Linked DNA regions of Drosophila melanogaster. Each later gene encodes a partner of the first gene's protein in a complex. Each region holds a gene or a part of one and is shown in the gene's direction. Other genes may lie near its edges.

What was found.
Region 2: HDAC1 (region 1) and E2f2 share a complex: the UniProt entries of both Drosophila melanogaster proteins name them as parts of the DREAM complex.

Annotation. Positions count from the first base shown.
Region 1 is NT_037436.4:4,624,640-4,630,106, forward strand, and holds HDAC1 (histone deacetylase 1), read left to right. Parts: upstream 1-2,094; 5' UTR 2,095-2,300; coding exon 2,301-2,343; intron 2,344-2,780; coding exon 2,781-2,893; intron 2,894-2,971; coding exon 2,972-4,217; intron 4,218-4,312; coding exon 4,313-4,476; 3' UTR 4,477-4,828; downstream 4,829-5,467. Other genes in the region: axo (axotactin), read right to left, coding at 5,177-5,467. UniProt on the Drosophila melanogaster protein: Catalyzes the deacetylation of lysine residues on the N-terminal part of the core histones (H2A, H2B, H3 and H4).
Region 2 is NT_033779.5:21,153,679-21,158,901, reverse strand, and holds E2f2 (E2F transcription factor 2), read left to right. Parts: upstream 1-2,152; 5' UTR 2,153-2,858; coding exon 2,859-3,158; intron 3,159-3,220; coding exon 3,221-3,330; intron 3,331-3,536; coding exon 3,537-3,795; intron 3,796-3,916; coding exon 3,917-4,256; intron 4,257-4,322; coding exon 4,323-4,426; 3' UTR 4,427-4,609; downstream 4,610-5,223. Other genes in the region: Coq3 (coenzyme Q3), read left to right, coding at 339-367, 422-598, 659-1,385; Mpp6 (M-phase phosphoprotein 6), read right to left, coding at 1,443-1,931. UniProt on the Drosophila melanogaster protein: Transcriptional repressor that binds to E2f sites and represses E2f-regulated target genes. Binding to E2f sites requires transcription factor Dp. Acts synergistically with Rbf2 to antagonize E2f1-mediated transcriptional activation.

The DNA of each region.
Region 1 (5,467 bases):
AGCTTCTTCTTTCCATCTCCCTTCCCCAACCCCATTCACTCGTCATCCAATGGCTCTCCACAAATTGGAAGCAATTACAATAGCAGCAACAACAAATGCTCTTTGACTTTTTACAGCAGCCGGAGCAATAACTAAATACGGTAGACCGTCGATAAAGTGAACCAAACACAATTTAGTGGTTGCAAATAAATTTTTAGAACCAAATTATCATAAAGCTTGAAATGTTTTTTTTTTTTCAAATTTACTCCAATTGGGTATTTTTTTAAGCGCAAAGAAGCCTGAAGAAATGGTTAGTATGTGTCGAAATATAACAAACAACAAGTCTTAAGATTCCTTAAGTTAAGCTTTATTCCATTTCTTCATTATTTTTTCATCTTTCGACTTTTCACTGTACACATTATCAGCCACAGAAGCATAAATAGAAATGCAGCGGGAGAGCAAATCTAGCACTCTTTTTTTTAGTTTTTGTGTTTACTTATTTGCGTTCATTGGCTTCTCTTCCTAACGGCACTTCGGGCCAAGGAGGTGCGAATGAAAAGGAGCTATAATCCGGTTTTATATCGCACTTACCTTTTTTAATTAGAATAAATCAAAACTTTGCTGCGGATTCCGATTCTCTTTATTTGCTATCAAAAGCAAAGCGGACTTTACAGTTACGCCTGTTAAAGTTGTTGTTTTTACTGCACGGTCTGCGGGCCAAATAAAAACAACAAATACTATATTTTTGCTGTTTACTTTACGCCGAACTTCGACGCTAATTGGAAAAAGAGATGCGGGAAGGAGAGAGAGCAATGAAAACTATAATTAAACGCCAGCAAAAAAAGGTCTTAAATATCCTGCGGGCACAGCAACAACAACAGAGAAAAATACAGGAGGAAAACCAAGAGAAAGAAGGGGAGAAGTTAACATAAAGTAACAGAAAGTTGCGAAGGAGAGGCGTTGGTCTCCGAGGGGGAAAGGCATAGGAAAAGACTCTTAAGGGAAAAAGAGAAAAGTCGGAAAGAGAAAAGCTGCGCAGGATATTTTAGCCGCCTATGAAAAATGTTAATTTTGTTTTAAATGTTCACTGCGGGTTTCATATGTTTTTTCTTGCATTATTGGCCACTTCGCTTTGTCACTTTACTTCGGTTTTAATTTTTCCACTTCTTCATTCGCCCAGTGAGTGTGTGCGTGCGAGGGAGATGGAGCGAGAGAGCGTGTTTGTGTTTCCACTGCAACTCCATTCTTCTTTCTCTTTTTTCACACACACACACAGGGCACACACGCACACTTGCACATGGGGGAGTTGGAAACTTACGCGTCGCCGTTTTATTAATTTTATTCAATTAACAATCGCCTCTAATTCAGCAACTCCAAAACACTACAAAATCTCGTTGTACTTGAGCACTATTGTTTGTCGATAAGAAGCCGCCGAAAAACGCCGACCGAGGAGGAAAATCACCCGCGCTGGAAAATCGCGTCCGAGTCGTTCAACGGTGAATTTTAGAGTGAGAAGGAAAATCGTGGGAAACTGCGGTGGATTTTAGAGCGAGATGGGTGATGCTCTGAAAGAGAGAGAGGGAATGCACCCTCTGGCGATGGGCCAAGTTCGATATTAGCATGGATTCCTATCGATTAATCGACTTAACATTATTTACCCCGGACTACAACCTATTACTTCTGTGTTTTTGTTTTTCTTAAATTATAATGAATCATTTATATTTGTATAGAAAATATTGAAATCAATTAGTTTATTCGAATGCTTAAACTTAAATGTTTTCCAACAACATCTCTAGTTCCAGCTTCAGACTCTGCAACGTGATCTTAGCCAATAAACTTTGCTTTATAAACTTATAATTGATCCTTGCTATTTTTCCAAAAAATATGTCGTGATATTTGATAATTTTTGATAAGTACATAGGTCTGATTGTTTATATATCTAATAAAAAATGACCACTCTGTATGAAGAGGGTAATCGTATTTCATATGTAAATTTATTAAATATATTTCTTTAATAAATAATTAAATATATTTGTTTGGTATTTTCGGTATTCATGCAGTTAGTATTAAAAGTATATTCTGCAGAGCCGGGAAGTGTGGATTTAAAAAAGTCCGCGGTCACACTGCCCATCTGCAGAGGTTTCCTCTTCGCGAATTTGTCTTGTGCGCTCCGATTTTGGCTATATAGTTGCGCCAAAGTGCCAAAAATCGGACCGGCACCAAAGTAAACCATCTTCTGAGCTCGCAAGTTCATCCGATCGACGAAGGATAGAAAAACATCGACTTTAAGGGGATTTAAGACCCGCCAACAGCACCGCAAAATGCAGTCTCACAGCAAAAAGCGCGTTTGTTACTACTACGACAGTAAGTTTTGAGCATTTAAATGGAAGTAAAAGGCCTACTAGATGGGTAATTTGTGTTTACAAAGTGCCAGCTAGGGTTACCATGTCGACTTTGTGTTTTTTCCGCATCCACTTAGCATCAGATGATAGCATTTTTGCAAATTTCAAGTTTTACGGCGACTGTACGAGCGCGTTCCGGTCCACAGCGCACTTTTTCCATACGACCGCAGTGCGTTTGTATGCGTTTGTGTGTGTATGTACCTGATGTCTATCTTCCTCTTCTGTGTGTTTTTGTTGCTTTTTCGTTCGGGGCGAAAGTGCTACTACTGCGGTCGTTCGGAAAAAGTGCTGCTCTCAGGCAGACGCCTCGCCGACAGTGGCCTTAAAATTTGTATTCCACATAGCGTGGCAAATAATTACTTTTTCAACGTGCTCATAATTGCGATTTTTGATCCATAGGCGACATTGGCAACTACTACTATGGCCAGGGTCATCCCATGAAGCCCCATCGCATACGCATGACCCACAACCTGCTGCTCAACTATGGGCTCTATCGAAAAATGGAAATATACGTGAGTTACTTTATTAATATGTGATGATAGATATATATATATATATGATAGATTTAAACGCGAATTTCTCTATTCTAGCGTCCCCATAAAGCCACTGCCGATGAGATGACCAAGTTCCACTCGGACGAGTACGTCCGGTTCTTGCGATCCATTCGGCCGGACAACATGTCGGAGTACAACAAGCAGATGCAGCGTTTCAATGTCGGCGAAGATTGTCCCGTCTTCGATGGACTATACGAGTTTTGCCAACTCTCCGCCGGAGGATCCGTAGCTGCGGCCGTAAAACTGAATAAGCAAGCCTCGGAGATCTGCATCAATTGGGGCGGTGGGCTGCATCACGCCAAAAAATCGGAAGCCTCGGGCTTCTGCTACGTCAACGACATTGTTCTGGGAATTCTGGAACTGCTTAAATACCATCAGCGTGTTCTCTACATAGATATAGACGTCCATCACGGCGATGGCGTGGAGGAGGCGTTCTATACCACCGATCGTGTGATGACTGTCAGCTTCCACAAGTACGGAGAGTATTTCCCGGGCACTGGCGATCTGCGAGACATTGGCGCCGGCAAGGGAAAGTACTATGCGGTGAATATACCCCTGCGTGATGGCATGGATGATGATGCGTACGAGAGCATATTTGTGCCCATTATCAGCAAGGTGATGGAAACATTCCAGCCGGCAGCCGTGGTGTTGCAGTGTGGCGCCGATTCGCTGACTGGCGATCGGTTAGGCTGCTTCAATCTCACCGTCAAGGGTCACGGCAAGTGCGTGGAGTTCGTGAAGAAATATAACCTGCCATTCCTGATGGTCGGCGGTGGTGGTTATACCATTCGTAATGTATCCCGCTGCTGGACCTATGAGACCTCCGTTGCACTGGCCGTGGAGATAGCCAACGAACTGCCCTACAACGATTACTTCGAGTACTTTGGGCCCGATTTTAAGCTGCACATTAGTCCCAGCAATATGACGAATCAGAATACATCCGAGTACCTGGAGAAGATCAAGAACCGTCTGTTCGAGAACCTGCGCATGCTGCCTCACGCTCCGGGCGTTCAAATCCAAGCGATTCCCGAGGATGCCATCAACGATGAGTCCGACGACGAGGACAAGGTCGACAAGGATGATCGCCTGCCGCAGAGCGACAAGGACAAGCGCATTGTGCCCGAGAACGAGTACTCCGATTCGGAGGATGAGGGCGAAGGCGGTCGCAGGGATAACCGTTCGTACAAGGGTCAGCGGAAGCGGCCGCGTCTCGACAAGGACACCAACAGCAACAAGGCATCCTCAGAGACGTCCAGCGAGATCAAGGACGAAAAGGAAAAGGGTGAGTGATTAACCATTAGTCATTTTAATTGGTTCTACTGACCACTTGTAATTTGTATTTAAACCCTACTAACTAAACCATTATGCTGTTTTCAGGCGACGGAGCTGATGGCGAGGAATCGACGGCGTCTAATACCAATAGCAACAACAACAGTAACAACAAGAGCGATAATGATGCCGGAGCGACAGCTAATGCCGGATCCGGTTCGGGATCAGGTTCCGGTGCCGGGGCCAAGGGCGCCAAGGAGAACAACATTTGACGTGGCGGCCGCAATTGGTTATAGAAGCCAATTAAGCGACCGCCGAAGTACAAGCCACCGGATTTCACCTAGTGTCGTCTCATTCCCGCGCCCCCCTTCACCAACACGCCCCGTAGCCATGTCCAGGGCTTTTTCTACACGCCCCTACACAAGGTCCCACTGCGATCGGCTCCTTTTTTTCAGTGGGAATATTCCCAAAGGGGGATAAATCAGTAATCAGTGGGCGGAAACACAATTTATTTTAAGATCGAAAGTGTATAGCTAAGCAAAAAGTGAATGCATACTTACAAGCGATCCAATGTGGCGAATAACGCAGAAACTAATTTAATCAAATAAAAATATTTATACATTTATTGATTTTAATTTTAATGGAAAATTAATTGAGCTGCTATCTTTTAAATATTTTCTTTTGGAAGTATTCGATTTCCCATTTTTAGCAAAATACTTACGTTTCCACATTTAGGTTTCTTAGTAACAAACTAAACGATAATTTGTAACAATTTATTTGTATTTTAACTAGGACTAGCTAACAATTTTTAAGATTTTAACTTTGAGTTTCTAAGTTGAGGAGATTGTGGCATTTGGGGGGGAGAAAAGGATCCACTGGGGGTTTTCCCGCCCACCAGTTGACAGTTTGTGACTAGTCGGCGAGGTTTTCCACGGATTGCAGTGGGCGGAGAACTGGAAACTGGCTGCGGTGCTAATCCAGCGATAATATCGAGTCGATGCTGGTGCGATTACTGCGCGGCTGCAGACGCGGTCCACCCAAGTAACTAATTGGATTCGCGAACTGGCGCTGCAGCAGTGAGTTTTCCAGGAAAAGCGTCGGCGGCGGGGGTGGGCGCGTCACTTTCGAGTGATGCTGTCGCATCGGCACCAATGGGGATTTTCCTCCCGGCTCCTCCGGATTTTTCACCCGACTCGCTGGCAGAGAGGACCCATTGGCATTTGTGGCTACATCAAAGGACTGCTGCTGCTGCTGCTGCTGCTG
Region 2 (5,223 bases), on another chromosome or scaffold:
CCTGATCGGAACTGAAAAGAGTGCTCCATTCCATTGGTTCCTGCTGACAGTCATTACATTTCACAACTGGGAACTGACGTGTGTGGAGAACCCCATCTCCTTTATTTTCTTTATATTCATTTTCTTTATTAATATTTAAATTTTTACCTGAACAAAAGTACCTGAAAGTACTATAATGCCTTACAATATGGGTGTTTAAAAATGACAAATAATAGTTATTGTTTAATATTCAAGAATTGTCAATCCCCCTTAATGCACCTGGCTACGCCCATGCTTTCGCCGGGCAGCAAAACAAAGTCAGCTGTTTTTGTTTATCAACGTTTGTTTTTCTCGCAAAAATGATGCGAAATGCCTTGTTAGTAAGCGGGTAAGTCAAAAAATAGACTGCAAAAGTAGATTACATTACAGTTTTGCATTCCAGCAAACTGAGACATTTGCTATCCTGTTCTATCGGGCGAAATTCGACTAGAAGCAGCAGCACAGCGAAGTCGTTGGATGCCGGCACCCAAAAGGAAGTGCGGCACCATGAGAATCACGCCTCGGAGTGGTGGAATCAAAATGGAACCATGGGTGCTCTACATGCCCTGAATGAGATTAGGTAAGCTATACAGATTTGATGTTCCAAAGGTTTATAGCTAAGTTCCTTTCCACCTTTCAGGGTTCCCTTTATCAGAGATGGCATCGTTTCGCGTGGCACTGTGAAGCCAGGTTACGTAAATACCACCAAAGTGTTGTTGGGTCAAAATATTCTGGAGGTCGGATGTGGCGGAGGATTGCTTACGGAACACTTGGCGCGCCTGGGTGCCCAGGTGGCTGGCATAGATCTTGGCGAGAAGTTAATAGAAGCTGCTCGCGAGCATCTCAAATGCTCCAGTCCGGAGTTGGCCAGCAATGTGGTGTACAAAATTGAGCCGGTGGATCAGCATGCCAAGGCCAATTGCGAATGCTATGATGCGGTGATAGTGTCTGAAGTTCTGGAGCACGTCAAAGATAAAGTGTCCCTGCTGGAGGCCAGTGTACGCAGCCTAAAGCCTGGAGGATCCATCTTTATCACCACTTTGAACAAAACCATACCCAGTTGGTTCGGTGGCGTGTTACTCAGCGAGTATGTTCTCAATCTGGTGCCCAGGGGAACGCACCACTGGGACAAAATGATTTCGCCCTTGGACGTTCAGCGCATCTTGGATACGAGTAAGTTTATCTCAGGCTTTATATTCAGATTAGGCTATTCTTTATTCTCTCGTTCATCTGCAGTGAACTGTCAGACGGTGTTGGTAAATGGAAGCACCTACGACTTTTGGAGCAACACCTGGCGATGGATCAACAACAACCAGATGTGCTACGCCTTGCAGGCGGTGAAACAAGCACAGCGCGAGTACAATTGAATTCGTATATTTATTTAACTAAAAGCTAAGTCACGAGTGTAACAACTAAGTAGTAAACTATTCGTCACCCGAGCGTGGTTTCTTAAAGTACTGCTTCTTCATGGCATGCGGACTATCACTATCTCCGCCGATTTGCTTCCTTTTAAAGTCCTTTTTGGTGTTAAACTTCTTGCTCATGCTGCCGGAGACCGTGGGCGCCTTGTTGGCATAATAAGCCTTTACCATGTCTTGGTCGGATACCTCCTTGGGCTGCTCCGGCCTTGTGCGGCCCTGCTTTTCCGCCAGATCCTGCTCCATGAGAAGTTCTAGCTCCGGATTCATGCCGCGGAAACTGAGGCGTCCGTCTATCAGGCCGGCGCATATCGAGTAGCTGGACTCCACCACAAAATTCGAGGTGGAATTGAGCATCTTCTGGTTGATCTCGTTGGAGTACAGTGCCCTGCTCTGCTCATCGTCTGCCTCCTTTTCCACTTTAACTTTTGTGCGCTGCATGAACTTCATGTCCAGGACACCACGCGAAAGTCTCGGCTTTGATTTGGATGGCATTTTCCTTATTTATTTTTGAATCTAATATAGTAGAAGTCCTTTGAGTTTAAAAACTAGGGCGAAACCATCAGGCACATTTAATTTTTTTCAAAAGCAGAATGACCGAGCACAACAAATGGGGAAAGCCAGTGCTGCAAATCATCGTTCAGCCTAGCTAGAAAACGTGGCGCGCCCTCGTGTTTATGCGATGTTTAAAGTAAATATTTAAATTACTGTTGAAAGTTAAAACAATCCTTCGTTATCAAGTTGATCTTTTTAAAATTTTAAATTCACCCTACTGACAAACAAGCTCAACTCCATCTTCATGGGCACTCTTAAGAAAACTTCCAGCTGTGCTATACATGCTCTGTAAACGATCAAGACTAGCACAGGCGCCTTCAAAGGGTTAATGCTTTTAATTTGAAACCTAAAAAAGACCCAATTTCATTTAAAAGTTGTCGCCAATATTATCGGACAATAAACCTTAACGAATGGCTAAATATTATGGAGTACTAAAATAATTATTATTTATTCGTGATGATACATTTGAAGACCAAGTAGAAAACATTGGATGATCTGTGTGTTGGACTGCAGACTAAACTAAATACAGAATTTAAATGAAAATTAATTGAAATTAAAGATCAAAATATTAAAAATGTTTACCTGTTTAAAATATAGTGTTGAAATGTGCGCAAGCATCGATTAATCGATTTACTATCGTCGTGGCAGCGTCGCTTTGCCACACTGCGCAGTGCGCACGAAGAATAGAGGGAGAATGAAAAAAATGACATAAATGGCGGAAAGCAAACCTAGCGCCAACATTCGTATTTTCGTTTAATTTTCGCTCCAAAGTGCAATTAATTCCGGCTTCTTGATCGCTGCATATTGAGTGCAGCCACGCAAAGAGTTACAAGGACAGGAGTATAGTCATCGAGTCGATTGCGGACCATGTACAAGCGCAAAACCGCGAGTATTGTTAAAAGAGACAGCTCCGCAGCGGGCACCACCTCCTCGGCTATGATGATGAAGGTGGATTCGGCTGAGACTTCGGTCCGGTCGCAGAGCTACGAGTCTACACCCGTTAGCATGGACACATCACCGGATCCTCCAACGCCAATCAAGTCTCCGTCGAATTCACAATCGCAATCGCAGCCTGGACAACAGCGCTCCGTGGGCTCACTGGTCCTGCTCACACAGAAGTTTGTGGATCTCGTGAAGGCCAACGAAGGATCCATCGACCTGAAAGCGGTACTAACACGGCCAAGCATTAAGTACTCTACCTTAACATCGTCCAAATTTCCCCTCTGCAGGCAACCAAAATCTTGGACGTACAGAAGCGCCGAATATACGATATTACCAATGTTTTAGAGGGCATTGGACTAATTGATAAGGGCAGACACTGCTCCCTAGTGCGCTGGCGGTAAGAGCCCCTTACATTTTATGAAACATTTTAGTTAGAACTAAAAATGTTAGTGACAACAAAATTAAACAAAATGGGGTGGAAGTCGCCCTTTAGCACTTAATACTTAATACAGTACAAACAGGTGGAATTTACTTTGATCATCTTCAAAGTATGATTCCACATAAATATTTCTTGATAAATTATTGATAATGTGCATTTTCCAGCGGAGGGGGCTTTAACAATGCCAAGGACCAAGAGAACTACGACCTGGCACGTAGCCGGACTAATCATTTGAAAATGTTGGAGGATGACCTAGACAGGCAACTGGAGTATGCACAGCGCAATCTGCGCTACGTTATGCAGGATCCCTCGAATAGGTCGTATGCATATGTGACACGTGATGATCTGCTGGACATCTTTGGAGATGATTCCGTATTCACAATACCTAATTATGACGAGGAAGTAGATATCAAGCGTAATCATGTAGGTATCTTACCAGTCGGAGCTCTTTAAACTAGCTTTCGAGGTTTCCCATTTCTTTCAACGAAGAAATATCTAAATTTATCGTATAATATGGGATTCAAACGAAACATTGTTTTTGTAGTACGAGCTGGCCGTGTCGCTGGACAATGGCAGCGCAATTGACATTCGCCTGGTGACGAACCAAGGAAAGAGTACTACAAATCCGCACGATGTGGATGGGTTCTTTGACTATCACCGTCTGGACACGCCCTCACCCTCGACGTCGTCGCACTCCAGCGAGGATGGTAACGCTCCAGCATGCGCGGGGAACGTGATCACCGACGAGCACGGTTACTCGTGCAATCCCGGGATGAAAGATGAGATGAAACTTTTGGAGAACGAGCTGACGGCCAAGATAATCTTCCAAAATTATCTGTCCGGTCATTCGCTGCGGCGATTTTATCCCGATGATCCGAATCTAGGTTTGTCTTCTTATCTTGCCAATTTAAAAGACCCCCTGTTTAACTTGATGCTGTCCGATGTTGCAGAAAACCCGCCGCTGCTGCAGCTGAATCCTCCGCAGGAAGACTTCAACTTTGCGTTAAAAAGCGACGAAGGTATTTGCGAGCTGTTTGATGTTCAGTGCTCCTAACTGTGGAAGGGGATGTACACCTTAGGACTATAGCTACACTGCAACTGGCCGCGTGCATTGTGCAAATATTTATGATTAGTACAATTTTGACTTTGGATTTCTCTATATCGTCTAGAAATTTTTAATTAGTGTAATACCTTGTAATTTCGCAAATAACAGCAAAACCAATAAATTCGTAAATGCACACATTGTAGGTTGTGTATTTTTTTGTTTTAGGTAACTTCCGTAAATGTCGTGGAATTATTTGGTCGTGTATGTGGAAAGTGCCAAGGAAGGTTGGAAAGATTTATAGGTTTGTTTTAATTTGGTCTAGAAAATCTATGATGCCTTGTTAAGCGTTTATGTTTACGTTTTTAGAGAGATGGTTGATGTCTTGGTATTTTTCCAGGGCTGGAAAGTGTTGTACTTGGAACAGCTGATTAAGATGTGGGATACGTTATCGAAAACGTTACTTGGTCCCCTTATGTTATTGTAACATGTACTTTATTCAAAGTATAATTGTCGAATCCGTTATCGCTGAGAAGTCTGTTGATTCTTTTGATCTCTGTAGATTTAAGTTTACATTTGGGATTTTTAACCACGGTTTTTTCAATGTGTCTGGGAAAAGTGTGCAGTAGTCCCGCTGTTTGTTTGCAGCAAAATCTGCGTTTTCCCTTTCCCAGTCTTTTTGAATGATTTAAACCGAGACATCTTTAATGGTCCAACTTACTTCGGTGAAAATTCCTTGCTTCGATGCATTTTTGGCGGCCAGGTACACGAGATCATTTTCTGGAATACCGGACTGACTAGGCATGTGA